Linked DNA regions of Rattus norvegicus. The protein of the gene in region 1 binds, or shares a complex with, the protein of each later gene. Links are inferred from orthologs where the notes say so. Each region holds a gene or a part of one and is shown in the gene's direction. Other genes may lie near its edges. The genes, in order: Stk3, Rassf5 and Sav1.

Region 1 (3,745 bases):
AGAGGCAGGCAGAGTTTTTGTGGTGATTCCCAGTACTGAGTACTGATGTTTAAAAACCTGACTTTACTGTGCCTGTGCGTGCACGAATGGTGTGTGTATGTGTGGAAGTGTGCGCATGTGCACAAGAGATGTGACAAGGGTGCCACATCACATGTGTGTGTGGAGGGCCAAGGACAACTTTGTGAAGTCCGTTCTTTCTTTACACTTGTGGATTTGTAATACTGTGTGGCAAGTGCCTTTACCTCCAGAACTATCTCATGTCCCAGTATTGACATTTCAATGGCTTAGTTTTTTGTTATTGTTCCTATTGTCCTGGGTGGATGAAACAGGTACCAGAATGTGTGTAAGACTTTCTGTTATTCAGTTTGGTTTGATACTCATTTTGACTTCATTCACCTAACCTCTAAGAAAACCTTGCCCAATCCTTATTTAAGAATATTCTAAAAAAATAAGCAAACTCATTTTATAGCTGTAAGAAGGTGTGTGTATGTATTTTATGGTTAAATAGTAGAGGAATGTGTGAGGGGTTAAGTTACAATGGGATTAGGGCAGTGTCCAGGACCCAAGAAAAAGGAAATAAATTTCTTTTGTATCTTTTCCCAAGCACCATAACTAGTGGTAGGTTCCCCATGTTACCCAACAGGACAGCCAGCAACCCTCTGGTGCTCTAAATTTGTGCACTGAGAAATTACTGCAGTAAATATTTTCTGTCGCTAGACTGTAATTATTATACCTGTAAACAATCAAAATCAACCGGAATTCCCAGAAGTATCCCAACTACTATAGTTACAAATGTCAAATGGCTTGGGGGATAGGGGAACATAACTAATAATAACTGATAATTATAAACAGGACCAGAGAGGGAAGTGTGGGCAGTTATACTTCAAACAGATTTACAATATGATTGGCATGTATTCTTGGGGAATCTAGAACAACGAATCAAATCTCAAGTGAGCTAACTCTCTTCCACCAGCAGAGTAGTTCTTGGGCTGCCAAAAAGTCTCCTTCTGGTAGCATGGCATCTTCTTTCTGAGCTGGGCACTCCTTTTGGTGGCTTCTCTCCACTAGTCTCACCAGCGCCTGGCCCCGCCCACCCCCTAGTCCGCACTCCGCCCCGCCCACCTTCCTCCGCTGCGCTCCGCCACCCTCCCGGGCCGCGCTCCGCCCCGCCCACCCTTGCTTCGCCCGGCTCTTCCCACCGGCTCGGAGCTGCAGGCCACGGCCCAGGGGCGGGGCGGCCGGGAGGAACCGCGTTCTGGAGCGGGAGGGAGATCCGCCGCGGAGTTACGGGAAAGTTGGTCCGAGTTCTCGGGAGTTTCCCGGTGTGGTCCCTTGCGTTCGGCCGGCTGCTCCCAGGCTCCTTTCCTTCCTACGGCCTTCACGGTCCATTCGGTCCCTCTTTCTGCCACCGGCCGCCATGGAGCAGCCGCCGGCGCCCAAGAGGTAAACGACAGCGGGAGCGGGATGAGGACGGAAGCCGCGGCGCGGGGCGGGGGCGGCTAGGCCCAGCCTGCCGCGACCCTGTCCTCGCCTGTTAGGCGCAGAGCGCAGCCCAGTTCGGGTGCCCAAGGGTCGGTCGCGCGCCTCTGCGAGGCCAGGGGCCCCGAGGGGACGCCTAGTCTCTGTGCCGACGTCCTGCGGGCCTGGCGCGCCGCAAGTTGAGTAGCCATCGCTGGTCTTCCCGCTGGTCTGTTGGCTAGGAGAGTCTGAGTAGCAAATGCACGAAACCTGTAGATGAGGACATCAATGCATCTCTCTCTCTCTCTCTCTCTCTCTCTCTCTCTCTCTCTCTCTCTCTCTCTCTCTCTCTCTTTCTCGTATTCTTAATATAAGCATTCTCTCTGAGAAGACGGATTGCTTATTTACAGTTTAAGGAGTAAGCTATATTAATAGCCACGCAGAATGTAAAACATTATGGATGTGCTGCAGTGACAGGTGTTTCCCCCTCCCCCAAGTTCTAAAGAATTTCTGGATACAAGACAGAAGGAATGTTAAGTTAGAACCCCTCCCCCATATAGTTTTACATGTAAAAATAGTGGTACTTTGGTATGCTATATGTTTAATCATGGACATATTGGATGCATATGTGTACAGTATGTTTGAAACTAATAATTTCAATGATCTTAGGAAACTAAATAAATGTCCATTGATAAAAGTTCATAATGTCTGCTCCCTGTTCTCCAAGAATGAATAAAATAATTGGCGCTGGGTAAAACGTTTACCCTCACTCTTTCATTTTTAATTTACAAAACGTTCTCCAAGAGAGTGCTGTAGTGAAGATTAAAGACTTGAGGTGCTCTGATAGCTAGAGGTCTTTAGATGTAAGGTGTTAGACTCACGAGGTGGACTAATTAAAAAGGCAGGCACTTTAAGAACGGTTGTGAATTGTGTGATTAGATATGTGAGCCTTGGGTTCTGGAAACCATCTGTTCAGATGCAAAAAAGGGAGGTTGTGGACAGGTTCCCAGAAGGGACAGGCTATCCTTCTGGGACCTGGAAGCAAGTCAGTTGATAGATTCTAGCATGTTGTCTGTTCTCCGGTAGACCCTGGATACTCCCCTCCCCCACAGTAACAGAAGAAAACCTGAAGCCTTTTTTTTTTCTTTCTGCTTTGGAAGGGCAATAAAGGCCTTTGAGACCATGGCATAGGCCAACTAGAATGACTGAATTGAAATAAAAGACCTTTGCAGGTTGGCTGTACTGTAAGCTATCAGTTTCATTATAGCTGTAAGAAAAGCCTGCACTTGACATCAGTGAACCTGGACAATCAGAAGTGGTGGGTGACAATTCCATAGTGACTTATACTTTATAAAGCCGTGCTTGCACATAAAACAGACTTATTTTTAACTTTACATTTCTCCAAAGACTCATTTGAAGCAAGAAATGTAATTCTTTTAGCTCTTTTGTTTTTTCCCCTCTTAGGTTGTACAGTTTGGCCTTGAGTTCCTGGGTTTAAGAGCTGCGTCTGCCTTTGACTCAGGAATACTTAGGAGTAGGATATAGTTCCTGTGCAGGAAGGGGTTTTTGTAAAATTACATTTTGTTTATTTGGTATCCCTGCCTCCCACATGATATGTGTGTGTGTGTGTGTGTGTGTGTGTGTGTGTGTGTGTGTAAACCCATGCCATTGCTTGTGTAAAGTCAGAACAGCATGCAGGACAAAAGATGTAGACCGCTAATATTTTATATATTAGCATCTCAGCATTCTATTTTATAGCATTTCAAATTAGTAATTATCCTCACTACAACTCTATGCAGTAGGTTGGATTATAGAAAGATTATAAAATCTCATTTTATAGATGAAGATACTATGAGTTTGCTAAATCAAAGCATATGAGTTACTGACAGTGAATTTTTGCGTAGTCCCTTTGATATCTAGTCATAAAGCACAGCTACCATTTTTGAAATCATAGTGTTTGCCATGAAATTTACACATTGTGACTTAACGTTGGGGCGTTTGTTCTGAGAGACTCGTTAGGTGGTTTTGTTGTGCATCTATCCGTGTGCTTGTACAAAGCTGTATAGAAGACCCATGCACCCACATCTGCATGGTCTGTCTGAAACATTTTTATGTGAAAAGGTTGCTACGTACCCTGCTTTTGGTACCCGCTTTTGGAAATAATAATCCTGGCTGGCCACTTCCTATGCTAGTTCTAAATTTAAGTGTCCTCACCTGTAAGCGGTATCGTGGGAATTAAATGGGCTCATGTAAAGCACTGCGTGAAGAGCTTCACAGCATGTTCAGT
Region 2 (3,631 bases), on another chromosome or scaffold:
GGCCCGCTGTGCGCGTGCTGAAGTCCTGCAAATGGGCAGGCTGGAGGGAAGGAAAGGTCAGGGGCGAGTTCTGTTGGTGAGCGCCCCACTGTGCTTCAGTCAGTGGTGATGCCAGTGTGATGTGGGGAACTGTTGTAAAATTCCCCCAACCAAACCCACAAGCAGGTGTCAGATGGCGTCAGGTCATCCCTCTCTGGGCACCTGCTGCCTTATGTACCAGAGAGGATTCCTGACTGCCCAAGTCTGCTGGATTTCTAAGGTCGGGGTAATTCTGGGAGAATTTTCACTGACCAGCTCCTATACGCCACGCCACTCAGGGGAGCATGAAAACCAAACTGGGAAGTGGCCCTGAACATGAGAGAACTCCAGAGAACTGACTGTGAAAAAGACCTGTGTGGATCTCAGAACCCATACTGCAAGGAATACTGACATCCACATTAAGTTCATCCTTCCATTTTCCTGGGGGGGGGGGGGTCACAGAGTAAAGCAGGGAACTCTGTAAGAACGAATCTCGGTGATGCAGAGAGAACGCAGCCGGACAGATGTGGGATTTCTGGTTTGCTCTGCACATGCGGATGAGGGTCCTGGGCAAGTTGGTAAATGCCTCCAAGTCCCAGTGTTCTCCCTGGAAAATGGGGGTAACGTGTCATTGGGAATCAGGAAGTTGAGGTCTGTGAGATGTGGAGAGACAGCTTAGTCCTTCATATATAGATGAGGTCCCCAGCAAATGCTGACCTCGCAAGAATAGGGGGTACTAGCCCCCTGTCCCTAACAGTTCCTTCATGGCCAGTGACATGAGCTGACTGGCAGGCAGATGCCCTTGTCTGCTGCTATCAGCTTTCAGCACGTGCTCACACCTTTGCAGTGTTATCAGCACTTCTTGGAGATGGGCAGACCATGGCTTCATAGCTATCTGTAAGCACCTTTTCCATTCCAAACCACGATCACGAGTTCTACCCACTCACCACGTTCATGGCCAGTGCCCAGGTGTGGCACTGGTCTCTCAGCCAGTCTGGGATAGGTATTATTTCCATGTCATAGGTGAGGAAGCTGAGACTGAGAGAGATTTGAGTGACTGGCCTTTTGCTGCTCATGCTGGTACTTATTTCTCAGCCAGAGAGGCAGCATTTGGGAGGTGTGCTCACTGCCCTTTGTATCCTGAGAACCACTGAACTCATGGCCACTTGTCTGTTTCAGAATGTCTGTAAGGCTGTGGAGGAGACACAGCACCCGCCCACCATACAGGAGATCAAGCAGAAGATTGACAGCTATAACAGCCGGGAGAAGCACTGCCTGGGCATGAAGTTGGTAAGTAGAGCTTGTCATCCTTACCCAGCATCCTTTCTGCCCCTTCTCCACAGGAACAGCGACTCCTTTACAGCTCACTCTATGCTCAGGCCCAGCTTTCTGTGGCCTCAGGGACCCAGAGAAATAGCATAGGCTCCAGATACAACCTCTGTCCCAGTCACTCTCTGGCTACTTTGGGAAAGTTTAGCCTCTCCTTACTGCAGTGTAGAATAGAGATCTCCATGCCCCTGCCTAAGAGATCTTAGGGGAATTAAATGACATTGATGGAGGGGCTGGGGGCTCGAGCCCCAGGAAGCCCTTGACCCAGGCTGTCAAGCTTACAGTGCTCAGATGGTGCCCCTGACCTTGACAGATTCAGAGTTGTTTTTAAGGGCTGACACCAGGAGAGCCCTGCCCCCTGCTGGTGACTGAGAACAACTGGCTCTCCGGTGCTTCCAAGTTACCCAAGAGCCTGAGAAAATGCAGATGCCAGTCAGGCCAGAGTTGGGCTGGATCTCCCAAGTTGAGAGGTAGAGAGGAGCCTACAGACTCTGCCTTTAGAGTGAGACCCAACAAAGACCACTGGCACCTATCTAGCAGACGGTCGGGGTGGCTGGGCTAAACTTCCTGTGAGGGAAGCCCGAACCCACCAATCCTCTCTGGTAACTGGGCTCCAGACCTCCTGGCCCATGAGAAGAGTGGGTTATCTCCAGTTCCTCTAGAGAGGAGACTCAGGAAGGAACTCGGGTAGGCTGGCTGAAGTGGCCTGTCAGGTCTCCTGTAGTTCACAACCCAGAGTGCCAGACAGAATCAGGCAAGATGTACCTCCCCCTTGCAGAGTGAAGATGGCACCTACACAGGTTTCATCAAAGTGCATTTGAAACTCCGCCGGCCAGTGACGGTGCCTGCTGGGATTCGGCCCCAGTCCATCTATGATGCCATTAAGGAAGTGAACCCTGCAGCTACCACAGACAAGCGGACATCCTTCTACCTGCCACTTGACGCCATCAAGCAGCTACACATTAGCAGCAGCACCACTGTCAGTGAGGTCATCCAGGGGCTGCTCAAGAAATTCATGGTTGTGGACAACCCACAGAAGTTTGCCCTTTTTAAGCGGATACACAAAGATGGACAAGGTATGGGAGTTCCCAACCCTTTCCCAGTCTGCTAATGCCCACGGTCACTAAACTTCACTGTCTGTCCTGGATGGGAAGTGTGGGCTTCCAGGCAGCAGGTCTGTAGCCATCTGTGTAGTGTTGGGATTCATGGGCGAGCCAACATGAAATCTAGGCAGGACCAGGCAGCCCACGCCTACTGTGCCCAGCTCCATGCACATGTCCTCCATACAGGAAAGACACACCCTGGGCTCTGGTCTCCTGATCCCTGTAGTGGGAGGGAGTCTGCCCACTGCTCCTCTTCCTTTGGAAGATGCTGTCAATGGAAACAGGGCTAAACTTTGCCATACGGGGATGGAGGGCTCTGAGCCACCACTGCCTTGCCAGGGCCACACCCATGAGAAGAACCATGACTCTTTCCTTGTCTGCCCAACCTGTGCATTCCAAGCCCAGGCCCCATCCTGTCCTCTTTTGAGATGAGCGCCCAGCCCTTCTTTCTGTTTGCAGTGCTCTTCCAGAAACTCTCCATCGCTGACTGCCCTCTCTACCTTCGTCTGCTCGCTGGTCCTGACACCGACGTGCTCAGCTTTGTGCTCAAGGAGAATGAAACCGGAGACGTAGAGGTATGTCTGGACCCTTTGCAAAAGCCAGTCCTGGCTGGCTAGGTGAAGCCAGACAGGTGCTGCTGTCCTAACTGCAGAGTGTAGGTGGGGCTGCAGGACTGCCAGAGGCTCAGTGCTTAACCCAGGATCATCAGTGTGGCACATCACAGGAAAGCAAGTTACAACCTGCATAAGGTAAAAGCCATGGGACAGATTTCATCTGCTTTGTGAAAATAGGGCTGGTATAGGGGTGGGGGTCACACTGAGAAGCTCTGTTCAGGCCCCACCTAGTTCTGCCCTAAGGCCTGCAAGCTCCAACTCTCGGCTCTACTGGACATAGACATTTCTTAACCATTTCTTTTTCTCCTAAAATGCTGGTTTCCTTTTCAAGGGGGTCTAATCAGTGTTAGACTCCTGGCAAAAATGGGGTCAAATTGGGCAGAGATCCTCCAAGCCCAGAATAGGTGGGTGTGGTCTCCAAGGAGTAACTGGAAGAGGAGGGTCTGAGAGTTTATCAGTGTGCAGAGCAGGGTTGCTTTTGTTGTTTGGAGGAGTTGGGGGGGCTGGCAACGAATTTTGGAGGATCAGGAGGGCAGATAGGGCTCCACACTCATTTAAACCAGGATA
Region 3 (3,745 bases), on another chromosome or scaffold:
GCCAGCACCGCCTTCTTGCTGTCTTTGTTATCTGTCACCCCTTTCCAGAACTGTGAGATCTCACTTACTCATGCTTACCTCAGCACTATGTAACACACTGTGTCTTACGAGTCTTATTCTGTGTGATCTCTCTTCCCCATACCAGAAGGGCCTTTATGTCATACCCTGGACACCTAAAACAACACCTTGTATGTTGGATGCTCAATAAAATATTTGTTATAGAATCACAGGAACCTTTAACAAGGAAGCATTTCATGAAAACATGGAGACAGACAACTGATAAAATGTCTCCTTTGTGCGTGGCTAAAAAAAAAATATACTGAGCAGTTCTGGTGCCTTGTTATGAGGTTGGAGTTTTGCTTCTGTGCTCTAAACACATTCCTTTTCTTATGAAAGCCTTACTTTGGTCAAGAGGAGTGAGTCTCATCTTATTTTCCAAACACGAGTACCTGAGTGAGTTAAAGAGAACAAAGTAGCATCCAATGAATTAGATAGAAAACTCCCAGCTCTGAACTCTGGTGCTGAAAGGCCTCAAGATTCTAAGACTTAATTGCAAGAAAAAGCACGTGGTTATTAAGTATAAATATTAAAATGATGAGATAAATACATTAACGTCAAATTTATCTTAGGAGTTGTAGAAACTCCATCTTCTTTGTCTTTTTAATCCGAAAAAGCGGATGGGAGGAGGCATAAAAGGGGTGGGAGTACCAAGGGTTGGGAAGAGAGAAGAGGACAGAAGAAACGGATACTCGGTTTTTACGCTGTCACCAAAAGAGGCATACGCGTTACTAGGTGCCGCCCTGGCTGTGGTCCGGTCCCGCGTCCCCATCAACCCTGCACACCCGAGGGCCGCCTTCCCTCAGCAACCACTCGCGGCTGCGGCTGTGGGCAGTTCTGCCTCCAACAGGGCGGTCGACAAGTCCGAGGCGAGAGCGGCTCGCAGCCCAGTGGGCTCCCGACCGCCTGCACTCCGGCTCCTCAGCGGCGGGAGCGGGCCGGGGTAGCCGCGCTGAGGAGCCAGGGTGGTCGCCACACCCGGCCCGTTAGCCGCCGGTCGAGAGTCGCCGCACGCAGCCGCGTCCGCGCCCGGCGGGGGAGGGGCGGCCCGCGCGTCGACTTTCCCAGCATTCCCAGCGGCGCGGGGAAAGTTTACCGGACGTAGGCGGTGGCCGCAGCCGTAGCGGCTCCCGGCGGCGGACCATGGCCCTAGTGGGCGGCCGCGGCCCTGTCCCAAGGCGGCCTCGGGCGGCGGCGCTGAGCCGGCTGACTTCCCGGGAGGAGCTGCCCTGCGAGTGAGCGGCGGCGGGCGCGCTTAGCGCCGCCAACATGCGGCGGAGCCTGCGGGCGGGCGCGGGCGGCGGAGACCCGAGGCGAAGGCGGCGCCGGCCCGGGAGGCGGCGGCGGGCGGCGGGCTCGCGGCCCTAGCGAGGCTGCTGGGGCAGCGGCGGGCGACGTCCGCGAGGATGCTGTCCCGCAAGAAAACCAAAAACGAGGTGTCTAAGCCGGCCGAGGTTCAGGGCAAGTACGTGAAGAAGGAGACGTCGCCCCTGCTGCGGAGTGAGTGTCCAGGGCGGTGAAGGGTGGACCCAGCGCAGCCTCGGGTGGCTGGTGCTGGAAGACAGACTCTCGGGAATGCACTTGGAGAAAAAATGCTTCGACCCGGGCACCTTTCTGCTGGGTACATCGGGGCGTGCCCCGTGTTTGCTACCATCGCGGGTGCCACTCGCCTGTACCCTAAGTAGCACACAGACCAGACTGGATTCCTTAGTCCTGCAGCGGGACACAGACTTGTGAGGCGAAGAGACACTTGTAGCCACTACTACTAAAGTATTCGAATTAGGCTTTGCTCCTAAACTTCAAAAAAAAAAAAAAAAAAAAAGTACTCAGAATAATTTCAGCCATAGCAGGACAGGCAAGTTCCTAACTTTATCCCTCTTTGCAGCGTACGTTCCGTCCCCTCCTATAACTTTTCTTCTTCATTTAAAATATTTGTTTTTAACTCGAACGTCTTGATTTTCCTTTTTAAAATTCTTGGGTAGCCAAAATAGTTATGAGAAGGAGCTAATCCTTTGGTTCTCATTCTAGGAGCTGGGCCCCTTGTGTAAGTTTCCTTCTTGGAAGCTGGAAGTAACCGTGTGACTTAAATTAAGCCTTACCTCATATTGTAATTGGGAAAGCTATTCACAGTATTTGCCCAAGATCACGCAGAAAGGGGTGGAGAGCACATTTTTCCATTGTGACCATGTGTCAAACCTTACAGGTTCTCCTAGTAGTTGTAGCGCTGGACAACAAAGTTGGTGGGGTGGATGTGTCAGTAACTTGAAACCATTTTTACTAGCTTGTTTTTCTGTTCTTAGGTGATAGCTTGCTTTTTTTCGCTGCAAATAAAGTTCATTAAACATCGTTTGAAGTCATGCAACGTGTTGTCTTTTAGTGAATGGCTTGGTACAGAGTTTGTCATCGACTGTTAATCCAATACTAAATTATTGTAGTGTTAGCTTCTGACACACTTAGTAAATCGACTGTTAATCCAATACTAAGTTATTGTAGTGTTAGCTTCTGACACACTTAGTAATCTATTTAATGGATTCAGAAAATGTGCTCTATATCCAGAGTTCATGTTTAAAGGCAGTTGCTTTTTCTCTAAGAACGTCTAAGCTGTTGGCACATTCTGATTTCAGCAGCCCATTATCTTGTTTGGAGTTATCTGCTCTTAAAGGAACCATAACTTTTCCCAGGTTTTTTCAGTAGACTCAGCATTTGTGTGCATCTTTGGGATTAGATGACTTTATTTTTCAATTTCTACACTGAAAGGTTTTGCATTCTAGTTTTGATAATTGTGCTTAGAACTGGGCAATTCTGGGTAGAGAGACAAAACTATTAATAAAAAGTCTTTTACAAGAAATCTGACTTTGCTTTTTTTTTTTTTTTTTTTTTTTTGAGGAACACTTATTTTAATGAAACTGTTTGTGTGAGGAAAGAGGCTTGGTGATACTTAAATCAAGTGAAAACACCAAGCTGTGGCCATACGAGATGCTGGTGCTGGCATTGGTTTGTTAGATTATTTTCCTCTCAGTGGCATAGTATCATATTATATATGGCAATACGCAGCAGCCATTCATTTGTAGCTGAGTTTACACCTGCACATTAATGCAGATTATAAATGTATTTGCTTGGGGAAATAATCTTAATTTAAAGTTCTAGTATTGTCTTAAAATTTAAAATTTGTTTTCTTACACCCTTTTGTTTGCTATTTTTATCTCAGGGTAGTAGACATAAATAAATAACTTTAGAAGAGTGCACTGACTTAATGAAGTGTGCCTTTGTTTTATTGTAGATCTCATGCCTTCATTCATTCGGCACGGTCCAACAATTCCAAGACGGACTGACCTCTGTCTTCCAGAGTCAAGCGCTAGTGCTTTCTCAGCTTCTGGAGATGGCGTAGTTTCAAGAAACCAGAGTTTCCTGAGAACTCCAGTTCAAAGGACGCCTCATGAAGTAATGAGAAGAGAAAGCAACAGACTGTCCGCACCGTCTTCTTACCTTGTCAGGAGCCTAGCGGATGTCCCTCGGGAATACGGCTCATCACAGTCATTTTTAACAGAAGTTAATTTTGCTGTTGAAAATGGAGACTCTGGTTCCCGATATTTTTATTCAGATAACTTTTTTGATGGTCAGAGAAGGAGGCCACTTGGAGATCGTGCACAAGAAGACTATAGATATTATGAATACAACCATGATCTCT

The links.
Region 2: the proteins of Stk3 (region 1) and Rassf5 are in contact, whole or in part, in a crystal structure (PDB 4LGD), measured with the Homo sapiens proteins. The link is inferred for Rattus norvegicus from reciprocal best matches to the Homo sapiens genes STK3 and RASSF5. Residues at the interface, in NP_006272.2 of Homo sapiens: Phe437, Phe439, Leu440, Leu445, Leu448, Gln449, Arg451, Leu452, Leu455, Asp456, Met458, Met459, Glu462, Ile463, Leu466, Arg467, Tyr470, Lys473, Arg474, Pro476, Ile477, Leu478, Ala480, Met481, Lys484, Gln488; in NP_872604.1 of Homo sapiens: Trp369, Asp370, Ala371, Phe372, Ile374, Leu377, Gln378, Phe380, Leu381, Leu384, Glu385, Glu387, Glu388, Lys391, Ile392, Val395, Gln396, Lys398, Tyr399, Phe402, Arg403, Lys405, Leu406, Ala409, Leu410, Ser413.
Region 3: the proteins of Stk3 (region 1) and Sav1 are in contact, whole or in part, in a crystal structure (PDB 6AO5), measured with the Homo sapiens proteins. The link is inferred for Rattus norvegicus from reciprocal best matches to the Homo sapiens genes STK3 and SAV1. Residues at the interface, in NP_006272.2 of Homo sapiens: Trp429, Lys430, Val431, Pro432, Gln433, Gly435, Phe437, Phe439, Leu440, Lys441, Asn442, Leu443, Ser444, Leu445, Leu448, Gln449, Arg451, Leu452, Leu455, Asp456, Met458, Met459, Glu462, Ile463, Leu466, Arg467, Arg469, Tyr470, Ala472, Lys473; in NP_068590.1 of Homo sapiens: Tyr311, Ala312, Arg313, Ala314, Pro315, Asp319, Trp324, Glu325, Phe327, Gln328, Leu329, Leu332, Asp333, Gln336, Leu339, Lys340, Leu342, Phe343, Glu346, Leu347, Ile350, Val351, Met353, Tyr354, Ala356, Tyr357, Arg358, Ala360, Leu361, Leu362.

Annotation. Positions count from the first base shown.
Region 1 is NC_086025.1:68,205,880-68,209,624, reverse strand, and holds the start of Stk3 (serine/threonine-protein kinase 3), read left to right. Parts: upstream 1-1,337; 5' UTR 1,338-1,417; coding exon 1,418-1,443; intron 1,444-3,745. UniProt on the Homo sapiens protein: Stress-activated, pro-apoptotic kinase which, following caspase-cleavage, enters the nucleus and induces chromatin condensation followed by internucleosomal DNA fragmentation.
Region 2 is NC_086031.1:45,192,690-45,196,320, reverse strand, and holds part of Rassf5 (ras association domain-containing protein 5), read left to right. Parts: intron 1-1,197; coding exon 1,198-1,308; intron 1,309-2,125; coding exon 2,126-2,423; intron 2,424-2,909; coding exon 2,910-3,025; intron 3,026-3,631. UniProt on the Homo sapiens protein: Potential tumor suppressor. Seems to be involved in lymphocyte adhesion by linking RAP1A activation upon T-cell receptor or chemokine stimulation to integrin activation.
Region 3 is NC_086024.1:94,233,646-94,237,390, reverse strand, and holds the start of Sav1 (protein salvador homolog 1), read left to right. Parts: upstream 1-1,292; 5' UTR 1,293-1,463; coding exon 1,464-1,557; exon of another isoform or gene 1,558-1,912; intron 1,913-3,337; coding exon 3,338-3,745. UniProt on the Homo sapiens protein: Regulator of STK3/MST2 and STK4/MST1 in the Hippo signaling pathway which plays a pivotal role in organ size control and tumor suppression by restricting proliferation and promoting apoptosis.